3 linked regions of the Nothobranchius furzeri genome follow. The protein of the gene in region 1 purifies or fractionates together with the protein of each later gene. This does not show direct contact. Links are inferred from orthologs where the notes say so. Each region holds a gene or a part of one and is shown on either strand. Other genes may lie near its edges.

Region 1 (3,649 bases):
TTGGAAAACCAAGTCTTGCTTTTGTTTTCTGAGACAAAAGCTAATATAGGCTCCTATGACTCTGCCAAGACTAAAGCTTAACCAAGGCTGCTATTCAGATAATAAATAGATCTGACATAAAACGTCTGGTGCAAAGGGAAGAGGAGCATTATTGAAAGATAAAACATCAAATACAGCTTCAACACTTGGGAGGCATTTATGATTTTGTTTAAATATGTTGTGGGAAGGCTGTACATGACAAGCTCTGTTTAACCCTTTCATCATAAATATTCTATACATAAATTAGAGACAAAAAGAAATGATCCTGCAGAAAACTATCAGTCAGACGCCGACATTACCTCCATCACAGAGGTGTGCTTCACAGCAGGACTCTTACCAAACTTTCCCTTTGCTTCTTTGGAGGTACCCGCCATCTTTATCTTAGCAACCTCAAAGAAGTCTTTGATTTCTCGCTCATACAGTCTGCTCATGTAGTCGACGTAGGTCTGAAAAGGAGAAAGGATATTTGTTCACATGTACGACGTAAACACACACACAATACCAGCTGGACAGCACAAAGTAGCTGCCATTATTCAACAGAGATCAGCCGATTTGAGTTTCTATGATGTCAATACCGATGTCGAACTACAGAGGTCATAGTCAGCTGTCGGGTGACGTTTTTAGGCCAACTTTTATGGTAAATATCGAGATGTTTCGAGATTCAAGAAGCTTTTATTATTGAACCGGCGTCCCAGCACCACAAGATAACAGCTTCAGATCCCCACCTTATCTGGATGCTAAAACGTCACCACCATCAGTGCTCGAAACCCACATTTAATCAACTGCTGAATCTTAGTTTGTTTGCACTGTTTAGTATTTACATCAATAAACTGAGCACATGTTACATTTAAAGTGAGTAAATAAAAAATGTCTGTAAAAAATAATGTTACGAAGCATTTGTAGGCAGATGTTTTCATTTAAAGGGCCATATCATGGAAAATCCACTTCTTGGAACTTTTTAGAATGTGATATTTTTGTTTCTTAATGAAAAATACCTCTCGTTTTTCACGGAATAATCAATAAAACTAAAATATAAAAACTGCTTAATAAATTACTGCCGACACCGCCGGGATTCAAACCCACGTCAGCACACGAGCTGCCAGGCAGACCTCTGAACTACCGTAGCCAACGCGGCAAGAGACTCGTCTGTAGGCCCTTTGGTCAGAGTAGGCGTGGGCGGAGTTTCACTGAAACATGTTTTATTTGCTGGTTTAAATTCACACTGATGGAAATAACTCGTATTTAAAATAAGTGACACCTCAGTAGTGCCAACAGTAATCTTTTATCATGAACTGAGCCTACCTTTGCTCTCAGAGGTTTAAAATAGCACGATATGGAACCTTTAATAACATTTAGCAGCAGCACCGGGCTGCCTGTGCACGTCCGTTATAAAATCAGCTCTCCTAAAGAGGTATATGGACTAATGTAAGATATAAAAATGGTAAACACTGGCCTGATGCTTTGGCTCACTGGTATATCATCTCTATTTTCAAACATTTGCATATTTAACCACTAGGAAAGCAGTAAGATGTTTTTGGCAGACGTCATATACATTTGCCACAGATTTTCCTTCTTAAAATAAATATTTTTAAAAACTACCAGACTGACCCTGGACAGGCCTTCGTACTTCTCCCTGTGGGTGTTCTTCAGCCACTCCATGAGCTTGGCGTAGCGCAGCAGGTCCCTGTGGAGGGGGCTGTGTTTGGGCAGGGTGAGTTCAGCTGCATGCTGAGGTAAGGTGGAGCTCTGATCATGACCCTTCAGAAAAACAAGCGTTAGGGTCAGAAGAACAACACGTTATAGGAGTGTAAAATCCATTTTCATCCAGAAATGCACACACTCCAGCTTGCTGTTTATCACAAACTCACAGATTTTATACCTCTGAGGATTTGATGCTTCCCCTTACTCCCTCACAGGACTAGCACGTGTGTTCTTGACTTCATTTAGTACAAGACATGCACAGCCTTCTGTGATGTGAGCCATGTGAGAACGCAAACATGAAAAGCCCTCAGCTGAGTCAGCTGGTGAAGGAGACGAAGGATGGACACAGCCTCATCAGCTCCTCATCAGACAAGGGATGTTAAGAAGTTAGAAATCTACCTCATGCATTAGAAAACGCTGGAGGAAGAAGCCTCATTGAGTGAGCAGTGAGAGATCAAACAGCGAGAAGAGGCCAGGTGGGGGGTTGCTGTGAGGGTACTCACTGGAAGTGACAGACAGGAGGACCTATAATACTGAGGGATGGTCATTTTGAAATGACTGAAGTGGTTGAACTGACACAGAGACAGAGAGCAGAGTGGGATGATTCAAAGTGAGCAACAAGGAAAGTCGTGAGCGGGAGGGACACAGCTGCTAGGAAAATAACACAGGAAGCCCAGGAAGAGAGCGTCAGCTAAAAAGGAAGCTCACAAGGAGAAAAAAGAGCCAGGAGACCATAGGTCTTCATTGTTCAAGCTGATCAAAAGCTGAGTCTGATTTCTGTCCCCGTAGCTTCATAGTGCTTATTCTCTGATGTATATAAACAGAAAAAAAGCCACGTCAAACCAGATATCTGATATTTTGTGTAGCTTTGTTGTTTCTGTGTAACAAAGCTGATAAAAATGACATAAGGTCATGTGACCAGCCACAGCCAGTCATGCTACAGCAGCATTTAACATGTTGTTGCTTTTAAGTTAAGGTACAGAAAATCCACATGAAAGAAATTGTCCAGCCTGAGTAGGAACACGGTTGTAAAGGACAAGACTGAGCACTCACCTGGTGAACAAACACATTGTTAAGGTGATTGGTGAGGCGGCGAGCAAACGTGTCTCTCAGCTCAGCAAACAGAAGCTGCTGCTGCCTCACAGCCATCAGCTTTTCATGACCTGAAGGAAGTAACGTACACTTTCATTTGATTGAACACTAAAAAAAAACTACAAAGTCAATTTATTTCTGCAGAAGTTACTCAATACCTGGCCGCAGAGCCACGCTCATGCACTGCAGCAGAGCTTCAGAAGCATTGATGCAGGCCTCTATCCCTTTAGGGGAGGTGAGGTCTCCTTCCTGCAGAGCCCTGATGTGCCCCTTTGACAAATCCATGTAGTTCTACAGGAGGAGAGAGGAACCAGAGTCATCTAACAACACACTGTGACTCAGTGTCACACACACACAACTGTGTGTTATAGCGCCTCACCACTAAGAACTGGATCTCATCCAGCAGTTTGTTATTGTTGGTGTTGCTGATCTGGATGAGACGGTTGCTCTGGGAGATCTGATCCATCTGATCCTTGACGCTCTGGAGCATCTCCTCGTAGCTGCTCAGCTTTCCCTCAATGGTGTCCACCTCTGTCAGAGCTTCATCCAGCAGCTGCATCAGGATATTGACCTGCTTCTCTGATGCCATGATGGACTGGATGTTGGCCTTTAGGAAGACACAGATCCAGAGATGCCTTTTTGGTTAACTCATTAACTGCTATTGACGACTAAAGTCATCATTTTAAATCCAACCGCTCGCTGCCATCAACAACTAAAGTCATCAATTGCATTTTATTACTGGGCAGGTGTGGGAACAAGCCCCCACACCGTGAGAACAAACATCCCGGCTCCAAAGCTGATCTTCAGCCGCTCATGT
Region 2 (4,206 bases), on another chromosome or scaffold:
CGTTTGTATGAATACATTTTGCATCCATAACAGTGTGTTCAGATTTGTAAATATGTATACAAACTATGAGAACCAACTTCTTGTCTGCAAATACATTTGTAATTTTTGCGAATGGTGTGTTTTTCTTATTAACCCATCAAAACAATCCTATTAGTCATGTTAAACACACCTGTGACCAGTGTAAATCCAAATGATCTCCCCTGGAGGGAGTCAATTTCCCTCAGCTTGTAATGCTGTAGTTAGCTGGGGTAAGCACTCCACAACTATAGTGTTTATAAAAAAAACTTTTATTGTGTTAAGATGAAGGAAAGGCATGTTTGGGTGAGTTTCGTTCTTGCTGACCCCTAAATGTCATTCAGGACTATTCAATTCTGCTTCTGGATTGCTGGTATCCAGCATGTTTTAGTTTGAACTGCTGCAGCACACCTGATTTCAATCAGCAGGTGATTAGCAGGCTTCTGCATAGCCTGATGAACTGCTGCACAGGTGATGCAATCTCTGAATCAAGTGTGTTGGAGCAGAGAAATTACTAAAACATGCTGGATACCGGCCCTCCAGACCCGGAATTGAATATCCCAGCTATAGGTTTTTATTTGGAAATTTTACAGGAGTAGCAAATAAGATAATGTAATGTTATGAATGTAGTTCTCGGTTGTTTTTCTACTCTTCCACTTTCATAATAATATACCAAAAAGAATAAAAACAAACACAATTTAATTGAAATAAATAGGCTAATATTTAGAATCAAAGTGAAGTTCCGTTATTACTCCACTGGAGGTCGACAACTCGTTCACTGCAGTTTCATTAAAACGGTTATACTTTTATTTGCTGGACTCGCTCTAAATGATTTGCTGTTAATAATTAGTGTAAAGACATGTTTCCTAATTCAAGTATCGTGGTTTAAATTCAATTCAGATACCGGAAAAGACTAACACGCCTCACCGGATACTTTCTAAACATGCCTTCAAAATAAACTCAAACATTTATGATGTTTACAAGTAAACAAATTAAACTACAAACAAATTGCGAAACCTTAACACCATTAAACATACTCAAATTTCTAATGTTCAGTTTTACATTTAATAGCTCAAGGCTTTAAAAATATCGGATGAAAGCTAAGTGCTCCCCTGCCGAAACCTTTCTATGTAGTGTACCCCGGAGTTTTATCTGATATAAATAGACACAGATATTTAGATCTAGAGTCAATATTTGATGTCAAATGCTCAGTAAAATGCATTTTCCGATCTGATCTCCAAGTGTTGATTTATTCTGAAATGACAGCCGGAAGTTACGGCTGTTGGGGCTGTCCAACCTAGTTTGTGATTGCTACCTTTAGCTTTTAGGAACTGTGGCTTTTGCTAGTTTTTTTTAATGACCTAAACAGGTCTGTAATCGCTCATTCCTCCTTGGAGACAGCCCTTTGACGGGAACTAACTTCAGGATGATTCCTACTGAGGACGCGTCCGCCAGGAAGCGGGAGATTGAGGAGAAACTGAAGCAGGTCAGACTCCGATGGACAGGAAGGGGCTTTATTCTGCCCAATTCGGTGCTTAAAACGAACAATAACAGAGTCCAGACACCAGCTGAGAGCAAACTCTGATCGTTCTTAGTGTTTTCAGACTGTTTGTGGTGAGCTGTTGATTTTCTGTGGGATGTTACAGGAGCAGGAGACGCTGTCATTCATCCGAGAGAACCTGGAGAAGAGCGATCAGCTGACCAAAGGCATGGTAAGAAAACAACACAACATCCGGGTCACCTAACGAACAAACGTTTCAAAAGTTACCAATAAAAAATTATAAGGTCAAAGGTCAGTCTAGGTTTCAAGGGACACGTTTCGTTTAATATACAGTTATTAAAGCGACCAATCAAATAAAATCCCGTTTAAAAATTAAAGCAGAAAACATAAAAAAAGATAAACATTTAAGATTGAAAGTTGAAAATAGTGACTTTACATGTGTCTGAAATGTTTCAATGGATGTTGTTTATTTGAAACTGCTATTTAATCGTAAATTGTTAGTTTTTTGTCTGTTGAAACCTTTTTATTATTTTGTATTTTATTTATCTGAAGCCCACTTTGACTAAACTAAGACAATTGTTTCCGTTCATGTGGGACACTGCTAAGAGTTTATTATATATTATATATAAGTATTTATGGTTGTAATCTAAACTCGATTTCTAATTTTATTATACATGAATCTATGACTTTTTTTTTCAATAAAAGCACAAACTATCTGTTAGGTTCCAATGATTTAAAGGGATTTTGTTCTAAACACAAGTTTTCTTTTGTCTGAACCGAACTAGAAGCCCTATATTTATATTCTCAGTGTTTTGAACCTTTTGTTATTTTCTTTCTCATCCTGAAAGGTTTCCATCCTGTCATCGTTTGAGAGCCGCCTAATGCAGCTGGAGAACTCCATCATCCCGGTCCACAAGCAGACAGAGAACCTGCAGCGACTGCAGGACAATGTGGACAAAACTCTTTCCTGCATGGATCACGTCATTAGTTATTACCACGTGGCCAAAGACACTGACAGGATCATTCGAGAGGGGTGAGGACTGTCTCTGGAAACATTAAATGGTTCTGCTACTGGTATTGAGTCATAACGTGTGTGTGCGTGTGCGTGCGTGCGCTTGTTGTGTCTCAGACCTGCAGGCAGACTGGACGAGTATCTCGCTTGTATCGCAAAGATCCAGAAAGCTGTGGAATACTTTCAGGACAACCACCCTGACAGCCCTGAGCTCAACACAGTGGTACGATCTCATCCTGAATCTGTTTGTCCTGCTACTAGGACACATTTGACTGAATCCTCTCATTGGTGCTAAAATAATTTATTCTGGTGGTGGAAAAAAACAGCCGAAAGTCCAAATCAAAAATAGAGTATGACCTTCAGAACTCCTGAGAAACTGTTGATCAAGATAACTTTAAAGGGAACATAACTTTTTTTCTTAAATTATAACAGTTCTTTGGTTGATACCAAATATGTTTATGAAGTTTTTTTGCACCAAATCCCTCTTACGTTAAGTGATTTCAGTAGTTTTATTCTTGACAGTTTTAGTATCTTCCAGAGTGAGCCATTACGTTGCTTTAGGAAAACAAGCTGTAATTGGCCACGCCCACCCATCCCACTCACTCAGGCTGCTATTAGCTGAGAAGCTTCGATATCCAGGAAAGGATCAGAGTAACCCCTACTGCTCAATGGAAGCATCAGCACTGCAGAAGAGCAGCAGAGCGTCACTGCTTCAAATAAAACCCATTCAAATCTATGGGGGTGATTCAAACCAGCCGCGACTCGGCCATTTTCAGATGCATCTCAGAAGTGGCACACCGCACCGCTAAAGATGGGATCGTGTTCTATTTTTGCCGCGAGCCGCTTCCGGGATGCAACAATTAATGTAGTGCTAGACAGGAAATCACACACGATTTCAGTGTAAAACCCCAGTAATTTTCAAAATAAATGTATATTGCAGCGATGCGACTTCACATTTATGTAGATTACATCAATACAAGCGACCCAGCGGCTTATTTACTCCCTGCATCATTCCAGAAGTGCAGCTGTGTGTTTTTTATGGCTTTTGTCCTGGCAGTTGAGAGGAACAACATCATATATGTCAACAAACGTGATTTCCTTCTTTTTGGTTTAATGGCGGACGACATAAACTTGAGGGATTTTGTGATCTCGCGAGTTAAGCAAGGAGGATGGTGGAAGTCTCGAGGGATTTTGTGATTCCGCTGGTTGAGCGAGGAGCACAGCAGAGAAGCCGCTTTGCAGCTGATACTCTCCCGGTATGCTCTGGAGTGCAGCAGTTGTTGCAAGTAAGTCTTTCTGCTGCTGCTCCGTGCCACAGATGCTTCCAGTGTGCAGTAGGGGTAAGCCACTGGTCCTGCAGCAGCAGTTCTCTCTTGCACATGAGGGGTAGTTCTAATCTACTTTCCCTGTTTGTGACATCACAATTGGGGGATTTTTGAAACAGCTTTTTTTAGGCACTTCATTTTTTAAACCAAACGCTGACAGAAAAGAGATGGATGGATTTTTCATGTTTAGAGTGTTCATTTACAGTTCAGTTCATTTTTATTTCAAAGATTTCACACATGTATCATTACAAAATATAATTCCATTATTTGTTTGAGAAGGAGTAGGCAGAAGTATTTACTTATTTGTCCCTACCCCCAAGTTTTACCTCTTATTCATTTAATTTTCTTTCAGT
Region 3 (4,082 bases), on another chromosome or scaffold:
CACAGTGCCAAAACCACTAGTAAATGGTTTACTGACCATGGTATTATGGTGCTCATCTGGCCTGCCAACTCTCCTGACCTGAACCCCGTAGAGAATCTGTGTGATATTGTGAAGAGAAAGTTGAGAGACACAAGACCCAACACTCTGGATGAGCTTAAGCCGCTATCGAAGCATCCTGGGCCTCCATAACACCTCAGCAGTGCCACAGGCTGGTCGCCTCCATGCCACGCTGCACTGAAGCAGTCATTTCTGCAAAAGGACTCCCGACCAAGTATTGAGTACATAACTGAACATAATTATTTGAAGTTTGACTTTTTTTGTATAAAAAACACTTTTCTTTTATGGTTCGGATAAAATATGCTAGGAGATAGGAGTTCTGGGTTTTCATGAGCTGTACGCCAAAATCATCAATATTAGAAACAATAAAAGGCTTGAACTACTTCAGTTGTGTGTAATGAATCTAATATATATGAAAGTCCAATGTTTATTAGTACATTACAGACAATAATGTACTTTATCACAATATGCTAATTTTTTAGAAGGACCTGTATAATAAAACATTTAAAAAAAAATCCTAAACTTCCAATAATATTTGAGATGTGTGTTTTATTACTGCTGATAATGATAACCCCAGCAGGAGGCTGAGGGCTGAATCAGATGCTGCTGTCACCTTAACAGAAAGCAGCAGTTACAGAAGATGAATGAATGAATTCTTTGAGATTTTAAGCGACTCCGCACGTTTCTGTTGACCATCATTACACCAGGATCAGGTGTTACTTTTTGTTTGAATTTAAACAGCTGATCTGAAAGCTTCAGATTTCCAGAGATGACCCGAGGAACTGTTGATGGGATCAACTGAACTTACATCTTCAAAATAGATGGAGATGAGGTGCATGTCGCTGGTGTTCTTGCTGTCCATACGGTACTGCTCGTACATGAGGTCGTCCCGCGAACACTCCAGCTCCATGAGCTTCCTGTGGGCCTGCAGCAGCTCCCCCTGTTCTATCAGCTGCTGGGTCTCCACCACGATCTCCGGGACTGGTGACACGACAAAAACATCAGATCAAGAGATCCACCAATACAAATGCTCAGTTCCAGTTTAAAGTCCAGCTGCTGCATTCTGGACAATGTGTGTGTGATGCAGAGATGATTTATGTAGACCAGTGGTGTGCAGTCTGGGCCAGCATCACCAGTGTAAATCTCGGCTGAAGACTCACTTGTACCGATTGGTTTTTGGACAATGACTCTTAATGTGCTTTTATTGTGTTTTACTGATTGTTCTTGTCTGTATTGTGATGTTGTTTTTTGATTGTTTTGTGCAGCACTTTGGTCGACTCACATGTCGTTTTTGAAACGTGCCTTAGAAATAAAGGTGGTATGGTACACCTACAACTTAAATGATATTTGTTCTATGAAATTTAATGGAATTACTTTCTTTTGTTTTTATTTTCTCATTTTAGGAATGTTTCTTATGGCTGCTACATGTCTGTGGATTTTCACTGTTCCATCCAATCAGATTTCATCTTCTATTGTTGCTAGGGGGGGTCTAATCAAAGCGGCTCATTTGGCTCTCCTGCGTTGTTTGGGGCTGCGGAGGTTGGGGGTGGGTGTGATTGGACCAGACTCACCAGAGAAGATGTTTTTGAGGTTCTCCACAGCAGAGGCCAGCTGACTGTGTTGAACTACAGCATCCTTGACATCTTTTAGGTTCTCGATAGTGTTGATGCTTTGTCTCCAGTCTTTGCTCACATCAGCCAGTGAACTCTGGATGTCCTTGACATCCAGCAGGGCACTGTGCAGCTGGGTCAGTCCTGTTCGAACGCCGTCCAGCTGAGACTGGATTGCTGCCTGGAGGACATCACACACAATCCCTAAACTTGTCACTCACTTGCTTCCTGACTGCAGCACATGATTAAGTAGAACAACACCTCTGAACACAGTAAATACTGGTTCTCCAGAGCACATCAAGCCCCGCCCCCTCCATCTCAACAGCACCTGTCTGTGGACTGGTTACCTTCAGCCTGGCTTCCACGGAGGCCTTCTTACGGGCTTCTCTCCTCCGGTACTGCTCCACTTTATCCAGCTGGTCTGACCTCTGCAGCATCCCAGCAACACGCTGCACTGCAGTGGCTACAGCCTCCCGACTCGTCTCTTCCATGTTGTCCTTAAGCTGGACCAGCTCTGTGGGACTAGCTCTGGGGACTCAATGAGAGTCCTCCTGAAATAGGAGAGAACAGCACATCACTCGGGCTGATGGAAGGGACAGTGGACACAGCAGTCTAACAGCGGGGACAGTGGACACAGCAGTCTAACAGCGGGGACAGTGGACACAGCAGTCTAACAGCGGGGACAGTGGACACAGCAGTCTAACAGCGGGGACAGTGGACACAGCAGTCTAACAGCTGGGACAGTGGACACAATGGTGGACACAAAGGTTTTTGCTGAGGACCAAGATAGCCAGCAGCGACCGGAGCTTTAGGGTCCCTTCTGGATGTGTTAGCTACCACCTTCAGGACCAACATCAGCTTGGAAAACACTTCCATAGAACGCATTCGGTACCGGAACCATAGCAGTTCCTCTCGGTTGTCATTAGCACCGCTATGCTAACCACGGACGGTGAAATGTTTAGGATATTTCGGGTTTATTAAAACAAAACGTCATTAACAATCGAGACAAACTCCTACCTTTAGACGTTCAGGAAAGAACGACGAGACAACAGATACAATTAAAGTTCAAAATCGATAAAGCTAGACAGCCGTTTTGATGTTTACGTTCCACTTCCTGCTTTTGGCTCCGCCCACCAAGGGCTAGATTCTTCTTCTTCTTCTATCGTTTTATGGCGGTTAACAAGCAACTTTTAGGTTTATTACCGCCACCTACCGACCTGAAGTGTGGACTCCTCCACATTTCCCTGACGTCCAACTGGCACCCCCCCTTCCCAGCTGTGGTCCCACCAGACTTTCCCATATCCCCGACACCTCACCGGCACGTGCTCAACTTTGTCCCTGCAACGGTCACACCTCCAAGGGCCAGATTCTCCTTCTCCTTCTCGTTTAACGGCAGCCACCTCCATTGCCTGAAGGTAAATAGCGCCATCTAGCAGTCGGTGTCCTGTATGAGACGTCCATCACCGCCCCGAGGACACATCCTCTACATGACCCAACAAAAGTAACTGGGAAGACAGCAAAACAATAACAGAATAGCTTTGGACCAGGATTTCACCTTAATAGGTGGCATACATTAATTACTATGTTTTATTTTTAACAGTTTGATTCCGGGGTGCTTGTTTTCAACCTTTCTTTGTTTTTCTTGTAAAACCAAGTTTAATCCTTTATTAAACATGTATCCCTATTTTTAATAGTCGTTTCAATGATTGGATGAAATTTCTTCTCTAATATTTCCTTCACCATTTTGTCCACTTATTTTCCCACAATAACTATCCATTTCATCCTACACTGTTTTTTTTTTTTTTTTTTTGCAGCCTGACACACTCAGCATCATGAAACGACAGGAGGAGGAGGAGGAGGTGAGAGGTCACAGGAGGGCAATATTTCAAATATCATAGCTGGTGAAACTGGAAAAATAAGACTATGGTGTAAAAGTCTCTTTATTTCAGTAATCCATTTTAGACTGAGAGGCAATCTAAAGGCTCTCTGCAGGGGTTCTGGATTCAACAGCTGATTAGAGCGTGACACTTTGAGTCTAGAATATCGAACCTTTTCACAACATTCTGATTGATTGAGATTTTAAATGTGGGGCTTTCATAAGTCATTATCACAGTTGTAGGTTTGAAATATCTTGGTTTGCATGATGGGGAAACGTACGCGGATCAGGAGGGTGAGTAACTAAAAGGTCCACTAGTGACAAACGGGACATTCCACAGAAGATTCCCCAGGGTTGATGGGAGTTGTGATGGTCTGAGTCTGACGTCCAGGCCCTTTGTAGTCCAGAGGTTTCAGAGGAGGTCCGTCAGACTTTCTGGAGCGAATAAAATAATAGAACCACAGAAATGAAGGAATTTAAACAAAAATCATCTTCATTTTTAACCGCAGTTTATTTTCTTCTTGGCCGTCAAGGCCACT

What was found. Proteins that work in one complex are often made in the same cells at the same time.
Region 2: the proteins of exoc1 (region 1) and exoc7 purify together in Homo sapiens (affinity purification with mass spectrometry; 4 studies listed by BioGRID and IntAct, counting the BioPlex papers as one, with this or other methods). This does not show direct contact. The link is inferred for Nothobranchius furzeri from reciprocal best matches to the Homo sapiens genes EXOC1 and EXOC7.
Region 3: the proteins of exoc1 (region 1) and exoc3 purify together in Homo sapiens (affinity purification with mass spectrometry; 5 studies listed by BioGRID and IntAct, counting the BioPlex papers as one, with this or other methods). This does not show direct contact. The link is inferred for Nothobranchius furzeri from reciprocal best matches to the Homo sapiens genes EXOC1 and EXOC3.

The regions. Positions count from the first base shown.
Region 1 is NC_091748.1:40,504,301-40,507,949, reverse strand, and holds part of exoc1 (exocyst complex component 1), read right to left. Parts: intron 3,440-3,649; coding exon 3,212-3,439; intron 3,124-3,211; coding exon 2,991-3,123; intron 2,904-2,990; coding exon 2,794-2,903; intron 1,798-2,793; coding exon 1,648-1,797; intron 486-1,647; coding exon 377-485; intron 1-376.
Region 2 is NC_091756.1:53,832,334-53,836,539, reverse strand, and holds the start of exoc7 (exocyst complex component 7), read left to right. Parts: upstream 1-1,305; 5' UTR 1,306-1,441; coding exon 1,442-1,501; intron 1,502-1,661; coding exon 1,662-1,727; intron 1,728-2,364; coding exon 2,365-2,549; intron 2,550-2,645; coding exon 2,646-2,751; intron 2,752-4,206. UniProt on the Homo sapiens protein: Component of the exocyst complex involved in the docking of exocytic vesicles with fusion sites on the plasma membrane.
Region 3 is NC_091751.1:65,615,953-65,620,034, forward strand, and holds the start of exoc3 (exocyst complex component 3), read right to left. Parts: upstream 2,902-4,082; 5' UTR 2,881-2,901; intron 2,832-2,880; exon of another isoform or gene 2,685-2,831; intron 2,219-2,684; 5' UTR 2,159-2,218; coding exon 2,015-2,158; intron 1,849-2,014; coding exon 1,629-1,848; intron 1,039-1,628; coding exon 866-1,038; intron 1-865. UniProt on the Homo sapiens protein: Component of the exocyst complex involved in the docking of exocytic vesicles with fusion sites on the plasma membrane.